Rattus norvegicus: one gene and its partner. The protein of the gene in region 1 binds, or shares a complex with, the protein of each later gene. Links are inferred from orthologs where the notes say so. Each region holds a gene or a part of one and is shown in the gene's direction. Other genes may lie near its edges. The genes, in order: Dock5 and Rhog.

Region 1 (7,686 bases):
TCTCCCAATGAAGAGGCAGCGGCTTCAATGAAAAACACATTTTAAAATTTATTTTGTACATTTCATTGTGTAAAAAAAAAAAAAAAGTTAGACATATGATTGGGTCTTCTGGCCCAGAAGCTAGAAGATGAAAAGTTGGCCTGATACATCTGACTCCAGAACTGAGGGTGGAACCTGTGTGGCCAGCTGAGGGAAGGGTGATGCAGGCCCAGCTCCCAGGCATCCCTGCTTACCTTTGAGAGCTTTAGTTAGCCTGCACTTTCTCTAGGCTTACCATATATGGCAGTAGTCAGAGAGGAACAGAAGGGGTGTGCTGAGTACAGACCGCAAAACATATTTATTACATTGGCTTACACAGCACAGGCTGGATAGTCCAACAATGGCTGTCTGAACTCCAGAGAAGCTGAGACTCCTTGGCTGCTCAGCCCCTAAGGCTGGGTGCCTCAGCACTCCTGATCTAGAGCCAAAGGCCTGGAGGATTCCTGAAGAGCCTCTGGTCTTCAGTCCAAGTTGGAAGGTCAAAGACACTGGGTCCCATATACAGCAAAGATGGTGGCACTGGCGGCAACAGTAGGAAGTGTTGACAGCGGTAGGGTAGATGCACTCACCAGAAGGGGCAACAGCAGGCAAACAGCTTTTCCCATCTGACTGCCTGACCACTCTTGGGGACAGTATTCCCCTCGTATACCTTTACAGACCTATCCAAATGAACAATGTGCAGGTTTCACATCTATAACATCTACAGATCTATTAGTATTGAAAGGAAGGCTTTGTAGCTATGATGTGGAGCAAAAATAATCCCATTACCAATACTCAGACAAGAAACAAAAATAAGATAGAAGCCCAGGATAGTGATGTATAGCTATAGTCCTAGTTCTTAAGAATCTGAGGCAGGAGAATTGTCATAAGTTTCTGGCCAGATAGGACTATGCAGTATCAAGTACAAAGGGAACAGTGGTTATGAATTTATTTTATATCCATAGTAGTAAATGAAATAAGCTTTCAGGACTGTTAAATGTAAAGTAATGTAAATGTAAATCACCTGCTTTGTGATTTTTTGATGCATTGTGGAGCACTGTTAGCAGGGGCGTTACAGATAACCCCATGCTCTTTGGGAGCAGCTCGAAATCGGAAAGGGGTCGAGCCAGATCTGGAAACAATGGCCTCTGCCTACCGTGCCCTCTTCTCAGGATCTGACATCCTCCTGTGAAATGTCTTCCATTTCAGTTTGAGAATGAGTTGATCACAAAGCTGGATCAGGAAGTAGAAGGTGGCCGAGGAGATGAACAATACAAGGTTCTTCTGGAAAAGCTGTGAGTATCTCAGAACAGCACCTCAGGCCAGAGGTAGACAGAAGCAACTGTCCACCCAGCAGTGGGTTGGCAGGTTCAAAGTCACCAGTCACCAACTGGTCCTTGGTGGTGTGGATGGAATATACACAGCAGGTAGTGCTTAACCAATGGGAGTCCATGCTGGGGTTCTCTAACCAGCCTGGCCCTGGGGATCATAGCAGAGGGGAGCTAGGAGGTGACACACGCAGCAATGGCATCCTGCCTGGTGTCTTAATTATGAACTTGAGCAGAAGTGGGGCACCTCTAATTGTGACTTCAAAGCAGCCGTTTAAAGGAAGTTAAGATTGACTTTAAACTTAAAAATACCTTGCATGCCATCAAAGAACTATGAGAACAGAAAAGTTGTCTCTCAGCCAGCTGGGGTGCTGCACTCCTTGAAGACAACATCTCTGAGCCCACAATGTCACTTCGTCTGCTGCCTCCCCTACTCAGCCTCTGCACAATCCGTCCTTTCGTGCTGCCCACAGGGCTGTTGTGTGGTGCAAGTGTCCGGCTACTAGACTGGCAGGAATAAGTACAAACCCTCTTTTCACCACGTTCTTGGATCTTGTCTTTGCAGCCAGTGAGTCAGTCTTTCAGATCAAGCACCCCACCCCACCTCCATGTGTAAGAGTAGTGTCTACTCTCTACTCCTATTCTCAGGAGTAAGTGAGGCAGTATGCCAACAGAGTGTGGCTTGCACAGTTCACACTTTAAAAAGTTTGACTACAGGTGGGCAGTGTGGCTCTGCCAGCCAGGGAACTTGACAGCCTGAACTCGATCCCTGAGGCCCACACAGTAGAAGGAGAAAACCAGCTCCTGAGGTCCTCTACACATGTGCTGCAACATGTACCTGTATCCACACACATACACAGGAGATGATATGCATTTTTTGTTGTTATTTTTAAGATTGACTGTAATTATTGTCTTCTCATCCCATTGTGTAGATGGCTATTCACATTGGTTTCTCATGCTGTCTGAACTTTGACAACCGGCCACCTAGGTCACACATTGTGTCATGTAAACTGGTTATTCTCCTATTCTGGGGAAACTTTGTTGAACCAGTCTGAACGCAAATATAGAGTCCACAAACTTTGATCATATCTCTTAATGATATCCTGAGTAGGAGCCAAAACACTGAGCTCAAGAATTGAATGTCTTTGTTCTGTTTACAGATGGAATAAAGTGATCTTTCTATCCTTTTTCCGTGAGGTCTCATACCTTCAAACGCTCCTAGCTTATAGCTTTTGAAATCCTGGATTTGTCTGGAAGTTACACAGAGATAGAAACAGATGTAAGATTTGGGGGTAGTTGGGCGTGGTGGAACCTGATCCCAGCACCCTGGAGGCAGAGGTTAGAGAATCTCTATGAGTTCAGAGTCAGCCTGGTCTACATGGTGAGTTCCAGGCCAGCCAGTTCTGCAAAGTGTGATTCTTGCTTTTGAAAAGATCTGTTGACATATAGCTCATCAGTAGAACCCTCCCAACACACACACACACACACACACACACACACACACACACACACACACACACACACACACACAAACACAACACAACACAAGATAGAATACACATTAAAAAAAATCCCAACACCTTCATGGAGAGATCTTACTTTGTTTCCCTTATTCTTTCTGGATCCTTGGCTCAGAAAAATATAACTACATCAATTCCAACACCTAAAAATACCCCTAGAATCTGGGCTAATTATTATATATTTATATTTACTAGAGAGAGAGAGAGAGAGAGAGAGAGAGAGAGAGAGAGAGAGAGAGAATATATGGATGTGCTCATGAGTGCAGGTACCTTCTAAGGAGGGTATCAGATCCTCCAGAGCTGTAGTTACAAGAGGTTATGGGCTGCCCAACAGGGGTGCTGAAGAACCAAACTCAGGTTCTCTGCAAGAACAGTCTACACTTTTAACCACTGGGCCATCTCTCCAGTCCCATGTCTGGGTTGATTCTTTAGATGCATAACAATTTCTGAATTTTCTTTTAGTTACTGAAGAAGCTCCACAACTTTGCTCTCTATGTCCCCAAAAGGGGAGGGCTGGATCTGAGGTGTAGCTCCAGTCTGTCTCCCAGTTCTGCCTTTCTATCTGAAGACCTATCCAAATGTCTACTAAGTTCCTCTAGTCCTGGCTTCTACCTGGGATTTTTCCGACCATCTGTTCAATGCCAGGCCCTTGGAAGAACAAAGCCATATTGCTGAGGGGTGTATGAACACTGTAGGCAAGGGCTCTCATTTCTGCAATGTTCACTAAAGAAATTTTTGACTAGCTAGAGTTCAGAACAACATTGTGACCTGGAGTTCTAAACAATTGATGGGAATTGACTGTGTTCCCAAAAAAGAGTTGAACCTAAGAAAATAGTAGGTCTAATATGAGTCCTATTGAAATTCTGAGGGAGGGCACCTTGGGTTCCACAGGGGATGTCTATTATCTTTAGAGCCTCTTGCTGCTTGGACTTGGTTGGGGCCCACAGCAGCTAGGTGAGCCACAGAAATTTTCTCTCCCCACTCCAGACTCTTAGAGCATTGCCGGAAACATAAATACCTCTCGAGCTCTGGGGAAGTCTTTGCGCTTCTGGTAAGCAGCCTCCTAGAGAACTTGCTGGACTACAGAACCATCATCATGCACGATGAAAGCAAGGAGAACCGCATGAGCTGTACAGTAAACGTTCTGGTAAGGGCCTGGTTCCTGGGCTTGTGAGTGGGCTCAGCTCAGCCACCCCTGCTCCACCAACTCAGCTCTAAGTTGATAGCACAGATGCCCAGTCACCCTGGGGCAGGAGCTCATGCCCTACTCACAGATAGCAGGCACAGACTTTTAGGTACCTGGAAACAATCTTGACACTCTAGCCTTTCCCAGAGACTTCTTCAGCCTGGCTGTTGGTCTTACATGTACTTATTTTCCCGTTGTAATGGAGCACACAGAAACCTATGCCATGAAATGATTTAGTCTGTGCAATTCTCCTGACAGTAAAACTCTAGTCTTCCCTCTTCTTGGAACCACAGACCTCCAAGGTTTAGGTTGCTATGTATGTATTCCTCTGCTTAATATAAACCAAGAACATCCCATCTCCCTGACTGCCAGAGACGTAAGTGTACCAGGTGGCTTCAGAATAAGACAAGCACCTGCTGCTCCCATAGAAAATCTCTTACATTTCTCAGAAGTGTGGTCTTAATTTCTCTAGTTCTTTATAGCCCATTGCTTCCCATATTTGTAAAGGAAATTCTTAAGGGAGACGATGTCTTTTTGGAAAAGCAGCAGGTGGGGTAGAGAGTTGTTTCATGGTTTAGACTGTGTGCTGCTCTTCTAGAAGACACACAAGTTTGGTTCCCAGCACATGTGTCAGTTGGCTCACAACCTCCTGTAGATCCAGCTCCAGATGCCCTCCTCTGGCCTCTGATGGCAACTATGCTCGCACGCTCAAACACTTAAAGGAGCAGTCATGCTTTGGCTATTTTTGTGTCAAGTTCATCAACAGCCTTTAATTTATGTTGGTATTTTGTGACCTTCTTTTTGGCAGAATTTCTATAAAGAAAAGAAGCGAGAGGACATATACATACGGTAAGTGAAGGAAATGCCTTGGTTTTGCTATCTGTGTCATGGGTTTGCAGTATATTTTTAAATCAGAAAACACTGCCCGAAAAGCACCATTGCTGCCTAGATAGATTCCTGCAAATACAGGATGTGTGCAGTCTGCCTCAGAGGCTGAGCTCTCTAGACAGAGGCACAGACAAATATGGTTTGAGGGAGTGTGTAATAGCATCAAGAGAGTCATCAGCATTTAAGGAGGGATAGAAGAGACTAAACTGGACAGAAAAGAGAAATAACCCATAGTGGCCCCTTGGTTTGAGGGTCATGAGTCTCCGACCATGAAGTCAACTTGTTAATAGAATTTCTAAAGCTTTACCTCACATCCCAAAGAGGATCAATAAAATAATAATAATAATAATAATAATAATAATAATAATAATAATAATAATTAAGAACACAAAACAGAAGAGCTAAGAAAACCACAGGGCAGGAAGAGGTACCATGTGCTAGAGAAATAGGAGGTGGTGAGTCTATTGCCTAAGAGAAGGGAGGTGTTCCTGTTAGAAGCAGAAGGTTATGTGCAGGCTGCGGCCTAACTGGAGAATGCTGAGTACTGGTTCATCTCCTTGGTGACAAAGGGCCTCTTCTCTCCTGTCTTATCAGGTATTTATACAAGCTTCGAGATTTGCACAGAGACTGTGAGAACTACACAGAAGCTGCCTACACACTCCTCTTACATGCGGAGCTTCTGCAGGTAAATGGGTCCTATGTAAAAGACCCACGGGGTATCCCACGTGTTCAGTCCTCTGGGTCTGAATTCCATCAAGTTCATGATATGGGCCAGAAAGAAGCTTACTCAAGGGATATAGTGTGTCATCTAGGAATGCCTTCCTGTGTTCTGGATAAACAGGGTCACATTTCAGACCAAGACTGGGAAGATAATCATTTGATGTTTAAAGCTCCTTGGAAAGCAGGGCACAACCCAGCAGCCTCTGTGAGGGTTGACATTCTAATTAGTTAAATAGATGTTCATTATGTGTAAAGAGATTAGTAAAATGGTAGAGAGGTGGGAGAAGGACTCGCCTATATAACCCATCCATCCTCTCCAAATAAAATTATAGTGGGGCATGATATCAGTGCTTTTGCTTGTCCCAAATCCCAGGCAATTATTTGAAGCCCTGTCCTCCTTTGGATTCCTGTGTAAGCATCAGTGACTGCCTCAACCTGTCCAAACCACAAGCCTTTGACCCCACTCTGCTCGTCCCCTTCTCTTTCTGATCTCCCCTTCTGCCCAGGGGCCTAGCCACATTCCACCCTTCGCTTTTAGCTGCTGCCTTCTACTTCTCCATGAATAGCATGTGCCCTAAATCTATCTTCTACTTAAAAAAAAGCCCTTGCTGCCATCCGTGTCCAGGCCCCTGATTCTCCCCCTGAAGTACTATACTGGCCTCTCCCTAAACCTCTTGCTTTCATTCTTAAAACAGGTAGTTTATCTTGATTCGATTTGATTCTAAAAGTCTACCCGTGCATCATTCTCAGCAGCTAAACACTGGAGTCCCCGAGAGGTTGGAATACTGAGGGGTTTTCTGCATCTGTACGGTTTGCTACCCATGATATCAGAGAATGGTTCCCAGAGATAACCCTGTAGGTCTTTCTAGTTTTGCTGCCCAGAAAATTAAACTCTCAAGCTAGCCATGGTGGTGCAAACCTATAATTCTGGCACTTAGAAAGCTGAGAACGGGGGATGGTAAGTTCAGGGAGAGCCGTAATTCATAGGGAAATTACCAAAAATTTGAAAAGTGAAGAAAAAGAACATTAAGTTGTCCTGATATGGGGTAAGGTAAGAAGTGTGGATTCGGCTTTTCTTCCCAGCTAGCTACTCAGTAGAGACGGTATTTGTTAAATCTAATCTGAATTTCATCCACTGGCCTGAGATCCCAGCTTTATCTCTGTGCGGGAGGAGATTCCGTTCTAGTAATCTCCCTGCATGTGGACCTCTGTTCATGCACTAAGGCTACATTGTTGTTATGATCCATTCCGTACAGCATGTTATCTCAGGCATATTTACTCCTCATTGCCCCCATGCCCACCAGTGCTGTTTCTCATTCCTTTGTATTTTTCCATCTGGGCCTTAGAATCCTGGAATTTCAAATAACTTGACCCTCAGGGTATAGGTCAGTAGTGGAGCACTCACTTGGCATGCTCGCACCCCTACTTTCAGGCCCAAGAAAGAAGGGGAGAAAGGAGAGGAAGGCAAGGAGGAGAGGGGAAGAGAAGGGAAGGAATCGGAAAGGGAACTGGGAAATGAACTAACTTTGCAGGGCTTGCCAAGATAGACCTGTAATTGTAGTTGGTAGGGAGAAGGCCGAGGCTGGAGGATTCTGCCTTGAAGGCCAGCCTGAAAGACTTAGTGAGACCTCAAGTGTCAAAAAATTTAGAAATATATAAATAGGGCTGGGGTGCAGCTCAGTTGGAGTGCACATACCTAGCATGCATAAAACACCGGGTCCAATTCACACCACCACCAAAGAACGGCAGAGGGGCTGGGGGAGGGCTTTAGTAAGAACTTAAGTGCTTATGAAATGGTGTTCCCCTCCCAAGGCATAGTGAGAGTTTCCCTTTTCTTGGGGCTACAGTTGTGCCTTTGAATGGTGGGGTCTTGTGTAATCCTGAAGAGTTGTTTAACGGCTTTATTGTGATGGACAGTTGTTTCCGATGTCTTCTGTGTGGCTTTGTAGCCAAGGTCCATCCTCAAACGTTTTTTATTCCTTGGCTTCTGAGTTCTCCAAGCTGGTTTTGCACTGAGCTGCTGTGT
Region 2 (8,486 bases), on another chromosome or scaffold:
TTCTTTTTTCTTAAGATTTATTTATGTAAATGAGTAGTGTAGCTTTCTTCAGACACACTAGAAGAGGGCATCAGATCTCATTACCGATGGTTGTGAGCCACCACGTGGTTGCTGGGAATTGAACTCAGGACCTCTAGAAGAGCAGTAGGTGCTCTTAACCACTGAGCCATCTCTCCAGCCCCAGGTCTCTCTTTTCTAATAATATCAGAACGGGGTCTTCTGCCCTCTCCACTTCATTGTTGGAATGTAAAATTATGCTGGGCAGCCAGCAGACTACATGAGTATGCACTGAGGGGGCTGTGGAGAGATGACTCAGATGGTAAAGTGCTTGTGAAAGCATAAAGACAAATTCAAATCTCTGTGGCACCCAAGTATACATAGCACAATGGCGTGGACTTGCAATCCCAGTCCTGGGAGTAGCAGACAGGAGGATCCCCTGGACTTGCTAGCCATCCGGTCTAGCCCAGCTGAAGGTGGAAAGTGACTGGGGAAGACACCTGACTTTAACTTGTGGCCTACACACACACACACACACACACACACACACACACACACACACACACACTGAATTGAAGTGATGAATGCAAGACAGCGTGTGACTGGTCAAAGGCCCTTAGATACATCACCACCAGGATTTGAATTCTAACAACTATTCTATCATGGATAATCTACCCCACTCCACGCCCCAAAAAAACTTTTCAGAGGCAGAGACTGGTGTTCAAGGTCAGCCACAGTTCATCAGGCGTGGGAGCCTAATCACATGAAACAAACAACAAAAACAAACAAACAACTTCCCTATGTCCTCTTATTTCTAAATACCCAGGTCCTGTGGGTACCTCAGTTGTCTATAAGTATATGACATGTACCACTTGCATGAACTCACCTGAAAGCTCATGAAAGACTAGGAAAAAGACTATGGCGTGAACTTTCTCCAGTTTAGATTCTCCTCTTCCAAGAAGCCTTTCCAGATGGCTCTACCTCTCTGCCTACCTCCCCTCTTTTGGCCTTACTGACCCTTCTCACATCTGTAACACAAAAGTGGTTCCGAATCACCTGGATGCTGATGACTCTACACATATTAGTAATTTATTGAAGCAATTTCATTCCACAGATGTTTACCGAACACAAGTGTATGCTCGGACGTGCCTGCGCCAGGCCCAGTGGGTGGACACAGAGATGAATCAGACACAACCTCAAAGGACTTAACAGTTGGTAGAGGAGACAGACATTAGACACAGATACAATTTACTAGAACTCAAAACAGGATGACCTAAGTGATATTAAGGAACCATGAGCAATGTGCTATATGCATAAACCTCAATTACTTAATTATTATTCTCAGGAGTGCATTGCAGAAGGTCAGAGCTGAAGGGGCTCTCATCTGCCCCAACACCTTGTTTACCAGTCGGGGGAAGTTGAGACTCAGAAATGGGTAAGGGCATGGCCTAAAACCTTTCCAGTCTTAGTCCTGGGATTTCAGCTCCTCCTCTGGAAGCTTCGGGTGCAATAGTTCTATATTCCATCAAACAGATGTCTAAGAAAGTTCTCCCTCCTGGACGAAGGTAAGGCAAACCCAAGACACTCAGAGCCCAGGCGGCAGAGTGTGACCCTAAGCTGCCAGCCCAGCTCTCAATCTATTTACCCAGTGTTCTTTCTACCTTGTTCCTACCACGGTGCCCCTCAATTGATTCTAAATAAACAAGCTATTGCTTGTGGTGTTGGGGTACAGACCTAAACACATGACAAGCACGCATTCTATCACTGAGCGATAGCCTAATTTTCAAATATTTTTTCAGGATTTTGTTTCTGGTTTGTTGTTGTTGTTTGTTTGTTTTTTTGAAACCGGGTTTCCTGGCTGTTCTGGAATGTAGACCAGGGTGGCCTTGAACTCGAGAACTTTTTTTTTATTAAGGTAAGGTTTCATATAGCCCGGGTTAGCCTTAAACTTCTGAACTTCCTGCCTCTAACTCTGTAATGCTGAGACTACAAACGTGCTACCACACCTGGCTTGGAACATACTTTTAATGGCTTCATTGAAGCCACTTGAACGTGACCCTGTTATTTGGGGGATTCACAAACCTCTTTCCATTAAACACCAAGCACTTGTTCTGCACTCCCAAATTTCCTCTAGCCCCTCCTATTCTCCTCTCCTCATAGGGAGGAATTTGCCTGTGGACTGAAGAAGAAGAAAAGGGCCCACAAACTGCCTGAGCGATGAGAACTGGCTTCTGGAGGATCTGAGAACTCGCATTCAGTCACTCACTGACCAGCCTGAGTTCGATTGTCTGAATTTGACTTTCTATACAGTAACACAGCATAGACACCTATTCTGTTATCTCCACATCCTCTGGATGGAGAATTTTTTGTTGATTTTACAAAAAAAAAAAAAAAAGATACTTGGAAACATTAAACTATTTGTCAGACCCGATCCACTTTATTTGGAGGGCCTCTGTAAGACGGGTTGTCTATCTCGAACTGTTTTCACTGCACCTTGCGGAGCTCTGCACTTGGTAGAGCACCCAGAAAATTGCTTTAAAAAATGTTGATTCTCCAGTAAAATTCTGCGCCCAAGGCCTGGGTTGGAAGCACCAGAGGGCGCCCACGAGGCCGCCCACTCGCTTGTCTCCAGGGCCCAGGCCGGACCTCAAGCCTGGGTGCGGTCCTACCGCTCCAAGCAGCCGCGCGCCAAGGCAAGATCAGGGAACAAGAAGAGCCCCACGTCTTCCCACGCCCCGCCCCCTCCCCAGGGCCCCGCGGAGCCGCGAGGTGCGGAACCACGACACGACATCCTGTTTTGGGGGCCCGCGCGGCTCCGCCTGCATCTCTGCTGATCATGTCTTTTCCCGGGGTGCTGACGGCAGCTGCCCTGCCCCCACCTCTATCTCCCCACCCTCCCCAGGGGTCTGGAACCTTCCCACTGCTGAATCACCAACACCCGGCACTCTCCCAAGGCTCAGGGCAGGGGTGGGGACTGCCCCAGCCTGACCCATTCCGGCTAATCCCTAGCCAGCCATGGCTACCTCTAGATTCCCGGGCAGAGCGGAAGGCATTTCTCAGCCTTCCCGCGGAGGTTGCGGGGCGGGGAGTGAGATACTAGGAAGAGAACAAATGCCCTGCGCCTAGCTTAGGGCCCCTGCTAGGGTGGGATGCCAAGTGAAAGTGGGGAGACCTGACCTTGAGAGGCCACACTCAAGGGGTCTCAGGGAGAAGAGTGGCGGGAAGCAGGGGGTGCAGGACTGTGCGGCGGGCAAAGCTTACAGAAGACCCCAGGCTGTGGAGGGTGGGGGAGGCCGCGGACTTCCTGGTCCGCCCCGCCCGGGCCGGCCCGCCCCCGCGCCCCGCCCCGGCCCCGCCGGCCCGTCCCCCACCCCCCCACTTCCTCCGGCCTCCAGCTCTCACTTCCTTCTTGAGCCCAGAGCCGCCGCCGCCGCCCCCAGCTCCCCCGCCGCGGGGAGGGCACCAGGTGAGGCCAGGGTCGGGCCTGGTGGGCAGGGGTCCTGGGAAGAAGAGTTCAGCCGGTCGGGACTGAGTACCCACGAGCCGGGGAGTTTGCAGGAGGGAGGACGAGGGCGGGAGGTTTTCGTTCACTGCAAGTTGGGCGGGCGCGGCAGGCCGGGCGGGGACAGCGGCCACCGCGAGCCGATCGCTGGTGGCTGGGTTGAGTGTGGGATCCCAGGGACAGCGCGGGCTTCTGCTGTCTGCGAGGGACCCCTGAGATCCGAACCGTGAGAGGCTCGGAAGTGGGAAAGCGCTGAGCTGGTGAGGCTGGGACTCTGCGGTGGGGTGCCCTCCGAAGTTGTGGGGGGTTGTTCAGTAGTGTGTGAAAGGAAAGGGCCTCTGGGCTGCAGAAGGCGCGCTCTCTGCTCTGCAGTTGTGACATTTGTGAGACTGGGGTGTGGGGGTTGGGGGGCGGTGTCTGGGGCCTCTGAAGTCTGAGACTGCAGAGAAAGGTCTCACCCGGGAAGGTCGGAGCCAGTCCATAGCTACACTGTTGCTGCTGAGGATGAGGTGGGGGAATCCCCATTCCCTCTCTCAGTTTTTTTCTGAGCCAACCTCTTTATTCCTATCCCATGCAACAACAGGTATTTAGTGAACACGTCTGTTGTGTCTATCTGACTCAATCTGGCCTTGCTTTTTTTTTTTTTTTTTCCGGATAAACCTAGGAAGGAAAGGGCCTCCATACCGATAGTCGCTGACAACTTACGGGACTTTGAGAAGCAGCTGGAGTTCTGACTTAGGGGAATGATTGAGAGCTCTTAAGACGTCTCCCTCACCTGAATTCCACATACTGTCTTCCTCCACTCTCCTTCGTGTCTACCACATTCTCCTTCAGTTTCTTTTCCCCCAGCCACATTGATGTATGCAGGCCCTGATACATTTACTCTGCCCTGTTGTTTTCTGCTCAGTTCTCTGCTCTCTCCCCATTCCATCTCTTCCCATCCTCTGACTGCCACACACATCTCTCCCCATTTTGTTTCTGTCTTCCCTGCCGCCCTCAGTCTTTCTCCTTTCCTTGGTCTGTACTCTAACTTTGGTGTCAGAAACTGCTTTAGACTTGCTGACTTTAGGAGCCTTTTTCGAGCCTCTTTAGCTTAGTGGAGATGCTGGCTGCAGCCTTCCAAGGATGGAGATGATTAAAGGGCTGGAAACATGTGCACACGCGCGTGAACATGCAAGTTCTGGTGTGTCAACATCTTTATCTCTTAGAGACAAAATAACTATCTGCCCTCAGCCTTGAGAAGTCCCAGAGCAGAAGCCGGCAGAATGAAGGGAACCTGCGGTGGGTGACACTGTGGTTAGGCAGGGGAAGCAGTCTGTAGCAGCCAGAGTTGAGTGACACAAGAATAAGACTAGTTAGAAAGTCCATGGGAAATCAAACTACCCTGATTCTTCCCAGTCTCCTAGCACTTACTGATTCTAAGGAGTGGGGAGAGTGTGTTGGGCCATTTGGTCTGCTAGGAAAAGGAAGGGGGCAAAGGCAAGATTCTGGAGGGAAAGCTGCAGCAAGTCTAACTTAAGTCTCTACTGTTTTTTTAAAATTTTGATCAGGAAAGGGCTTCGAGGCAAGGGTGTTTGTCCTTCCTCCCTGCTGCTCGGTGGGGACTGCAGACATTGGGTATCTACATTTTCTGGTGTGTGTCAATGCCTTCACTGGGAGTTGTACTGACCCTCCTGTCTTTAAGCATCCGTGATGTTCTCTTCTTACCAAGGTCTCTATTCCCGCTCTCTGAGGGGTTTCTCCAAAGTCTAACGTAGTCTGTCCTGGCCCTGTAAGTGCTTGTCTCCATTCTGGAGCCCCTCCTCAGCCTTTGGATTACATGCTCAGATTTTGTTTGTCTCTGCCTCCACTGCTCTTCTTCTCTCCATGAGAATAAAGAGAAGTGGAGGAGAGCAAATGTCACATTTGGGGGATCGTCGAGCACAGCTAAATTTAAGAGCTAGGCTCCTTCCCTTTCCTATCCTCTTACCACCTCACAGTTGTCCCTCTCCCATCAATTGTTCCTTCCTCTGGGCCTGCCCTTCTCCACCTGTCTTTCCTACTCTCATTTCTGGGAGGTACAGAGGTTTGGCCCCACGGAGGAAATCCAAGGGATCTGTATTAAATCCCAGCTCGGGAAAGGATGTGCATACGGCACATTTTCTTGGCATCACAGCTCAATAAAAGTCGTCAGGAGCCCTGATTCTTAGCTTGACAAACCAGTACTGAGTTTAGCATTTGGTATAACTAAGCAACCCACAAGGCTCCGAGAGCAGAGATAATGGTGGCAGTAACAGGGTTTTTTTCTCTTAGGCAAGATCTGGCCACATTGGAAATTTGAGCTAATTGCAAGAAGAGTGTGACCAGGATGGGAGGAATCTAAGTAGGAAAACGCTGTGGATGGTTAAGGTAATATGAGAAGTGGTAGGGTGACGATGCTGCTCGTCCTGCTTAGCAGTCTGGGCTATGGAGAGTCGCTTCAGGGAAGATGTTAAGGCAGATGATAGTAGCTATTGAGGGGCTATGAGCAAGAAGATACAAAAGGCTGTGGTTATATGGGCAGCTGTGAAGATACGGGTGATAGTAGCTGGAGAACAGAGAATACAGAAGGGTGCTGGGCACAGTCTGAAAAACCTCTTCTTTCATGTAGCGTCGATCCATTAGAGGTGAGGTTTGTAGGGGTCTGTGAGAGGACCTTCGAAGGGAAACCAAAGACAAAGCCTGGGCCACCTCCCCAGATCAGACTGGTTTTCCTGTCCAGGGTCCAGCTTCCTCTTTTGTCCTCATCTCACATGGGGGGAGGGCATGTCCCTAGGAGCTAAAGACCAAAGGAGGAGCTTCTCAGCTAGGACAAGACCAGGGTAGCTGGCTGTCCAGTAGCACACTGTTAATGCTAAACCATGAGCAGTACAAGCTGCACTGGGGCTGGGAGGCTGGATAGCTTAAAAGCAAAAGGATGCAGATGGATTTCAGCCTGACTCCTTTGGCCCATTGCTTTATCTATTGAGATTTCTGTATATATATTATGTATGGGTGTTTTGCCTACATATGTGTATGTGTACCATATCCATGCCTGATGCCCACGGAGGGTGTCAGATCCCCTGGAACTGGAACTCTATGGACCTGTGAGTCACCCTGTGGGTGCTGGGAATGAAAACTGGGTCCTCTGCAAGGACAAGTGCTCTTAATCCCACTAAACCATCTCTCTAGCCCTCTCACCCATTACTTAAAGAAGCAAACCATGCTAGGGCCATCTTAAAGTCAAAGTTCAGAGTAAAGGTCTTCACCTTTTCTGCTTTGTGAGACAATCAGGCCAGAGGTTAGATCTGGTCCTCACCCTAAATTTGCAACTAAGTCTTTGTATCAGTCTGGTCAACTGAGTATCTCTTGACTCTATTTTAACATTAAGTTGCAAACCAGACCTGGTGGTACACACCTTTAATCCCAGTGCTTGGGAGGCAGAAGCCCACCTGGTCTGCATATCAAGTTTCAGGCTAGCCAAGGTGACATACAGTAAGACCGTTTCAGAAAAACGGCTTACGTTTTCAGTGCCTCAGACCCATCCTTCATGTCTCAACAGCCTTGATCTGAGCAGGTTAGAACTGTCGCTCTTTATTCAAAGTACAAAGATTGCTGTAGGTGGACAGATAAAAAGGCAGTAATGCTGGGATCTTGTCTCAGGACTCCAGGATGGGCTGTATACCTTGCCCTCTGCCCCAGCTGTGTGCCCACTAACAGTGGAAAATAGATGTAGCGTTTCCTCCCCGTTTATTTTTTCCCCTTTGTGGAAACCCCCTCAGACCTTGGGTGGCACACTTAGAGGACTAGGAAGCCCTGGGTTTCTCTGTTTTTAAGGTAGGGGACAGGATTGCAAGGTTGGCACTCCCAGCCTCATGTGAAGTGAGCAAAGGAAGTGCCACTTCACAGACCCAGAGGTTGCTGAGCTGCTGCTAGGCAGGGAGAAATAAGCCAGTGTGTGAGCCTTCCTCTGTGTGGCTGGGTGGGGGAGGGGCGGCCTGGCTCCCCAAGCTGGAGCTGTCCTGTCTCTGGGGCTCACCCTTTGTGGAACATCCTGGGTGCTGGGATGAGCATGGGACAGACTTAGTGAAGCTGTCTCAAGTCTCTGTGCCCTCAGCTCCAATGCCTTGTTTCTTCCTCCTCTGTAGTCAGTCCCTAGAAAGTAGCATCAAGTCTCTCTTACCCTACCTACCATAGTCCAAACTCCTCTGTGCTGGATCCCAGAGGTGGAAAAGGACAAAAAGGGAAGAGTCCTTCAGTGTGGGCTTTTTTTTTTTTTTTTCCTCTTTTTTCCCCTTTCCAGACAGGGTTTCTCTGTGTAGCCCTGGCTGTCCTGGAACTCACTCTGTAGACCAAGCTAGCCTTGAACTCAAGAGTTTTAGTGCAGTGCCTCTGTCTCCAGAGTGCTGGGATTAAAGGCATGTGCCACTACACTGCCCTCAGGACTTTCCCTTTCTCTTCTTTAAGACTGGGAACTGGGTTCTCTTGGGTTCTTCCCTGCTGCTGCTGAGAAGGGGTAGAAAGAGCCTCAGCCCTTGGCCTGGTCCCAGGCCCACACTGACCTCATGTCTCCCCCAGCTTCCTCCTCCCAGCCCAGCTGCAGTCAGCTGCATCCCCAGTGTGAGCCTCCTTGTTTTACCTACAAACAAACAAGCAAACAAACAAACAAACTTGCAGTGCCCCGTCCCTGGCCTGGTTGTCTTTGGCCAAAGGTCTGCAGCTATTCCCATCTAATCCTTGGCCTGTCTTCTATTTTTTCTTCCCATTTTCTTCAGCCCCTTTGAATTACCACTGCCTGACTTCTTACTCTTAGCCGAGGACAGAGCAATCTAGTTTGTGCGACCCTAACTTTCTGTTTCTCTTGAGCGAGGAAGAAGTTGGCTACCTTTGTCCAGTGTCTCTTGGACATAGAGGCTTTCCTTGTTCCTAGTCTCAATGTCAGGATTGATTGGGGGGAGGGGGTTGTATGTCACTCTGCAACTTCTGTTCA

Evidence for each region.
Region 2: the proteins of Dock5 (region 1) and Rhog are in contact, whole or in part, in a cryo-EM structure (PDB 8XM7), measured with the Homo sapiens proteins. The link is inferred for Rattus norvegicus from reciprocal best matches to the Homo sapiens genes DOCK5 and RHOG. Residues at the interface, in NP_079216.4 of Homo sapiens: Val232, Phe345, Asn393, His394, Lys395, Gly396, Trp400; in NP_001656.2 of Homo sapiens: Ala121, Pro123, Leu126, Arg127, Arg128, Lys130.

Annotation. Positions count from the first base shown.
Region 1 is NC_086033.1:46,182,397-46,190,082, reverse strand, and holds part of Dock5 (dedicator of cytokinesis protein 5), read left to right. Parts: intron 1-1,227; coding exon 1,228-1,313; intron 1,314-3,853; coding exon 3,854-4,013; intron 4,014-4,860; coding exon 4,861-4,901; intron 4,902-5,534; coding exon 5,535-5,625; intron 5,626-7,686. UniProt on the Homo sapiens protein: Guanine nucleotide exchange factor (GEF) for Rho and Rac. GEF proteins activate small GTPases by exchanging bound GDP for free GTP. Along with DOCK1, mediates CRK/CRKL regulation of epithelial and endothelial cell spreading and migration on type IV collagen.
Region 2 is NC_086019.1:166,037,153-166,045,638, reverse strand, and holds the start of Rhog (rho-related GTP-binding protein RhoG), read left to right. Parts: upstream 1-3,437; 5' UTR 3,438-3,463; intron 3,464-3,504; exon of another isoform or gene 3,505-3,759; intron 3,760-5,791; exon of another isoform or gene 5,792-5,887; intron 5,888-8,486.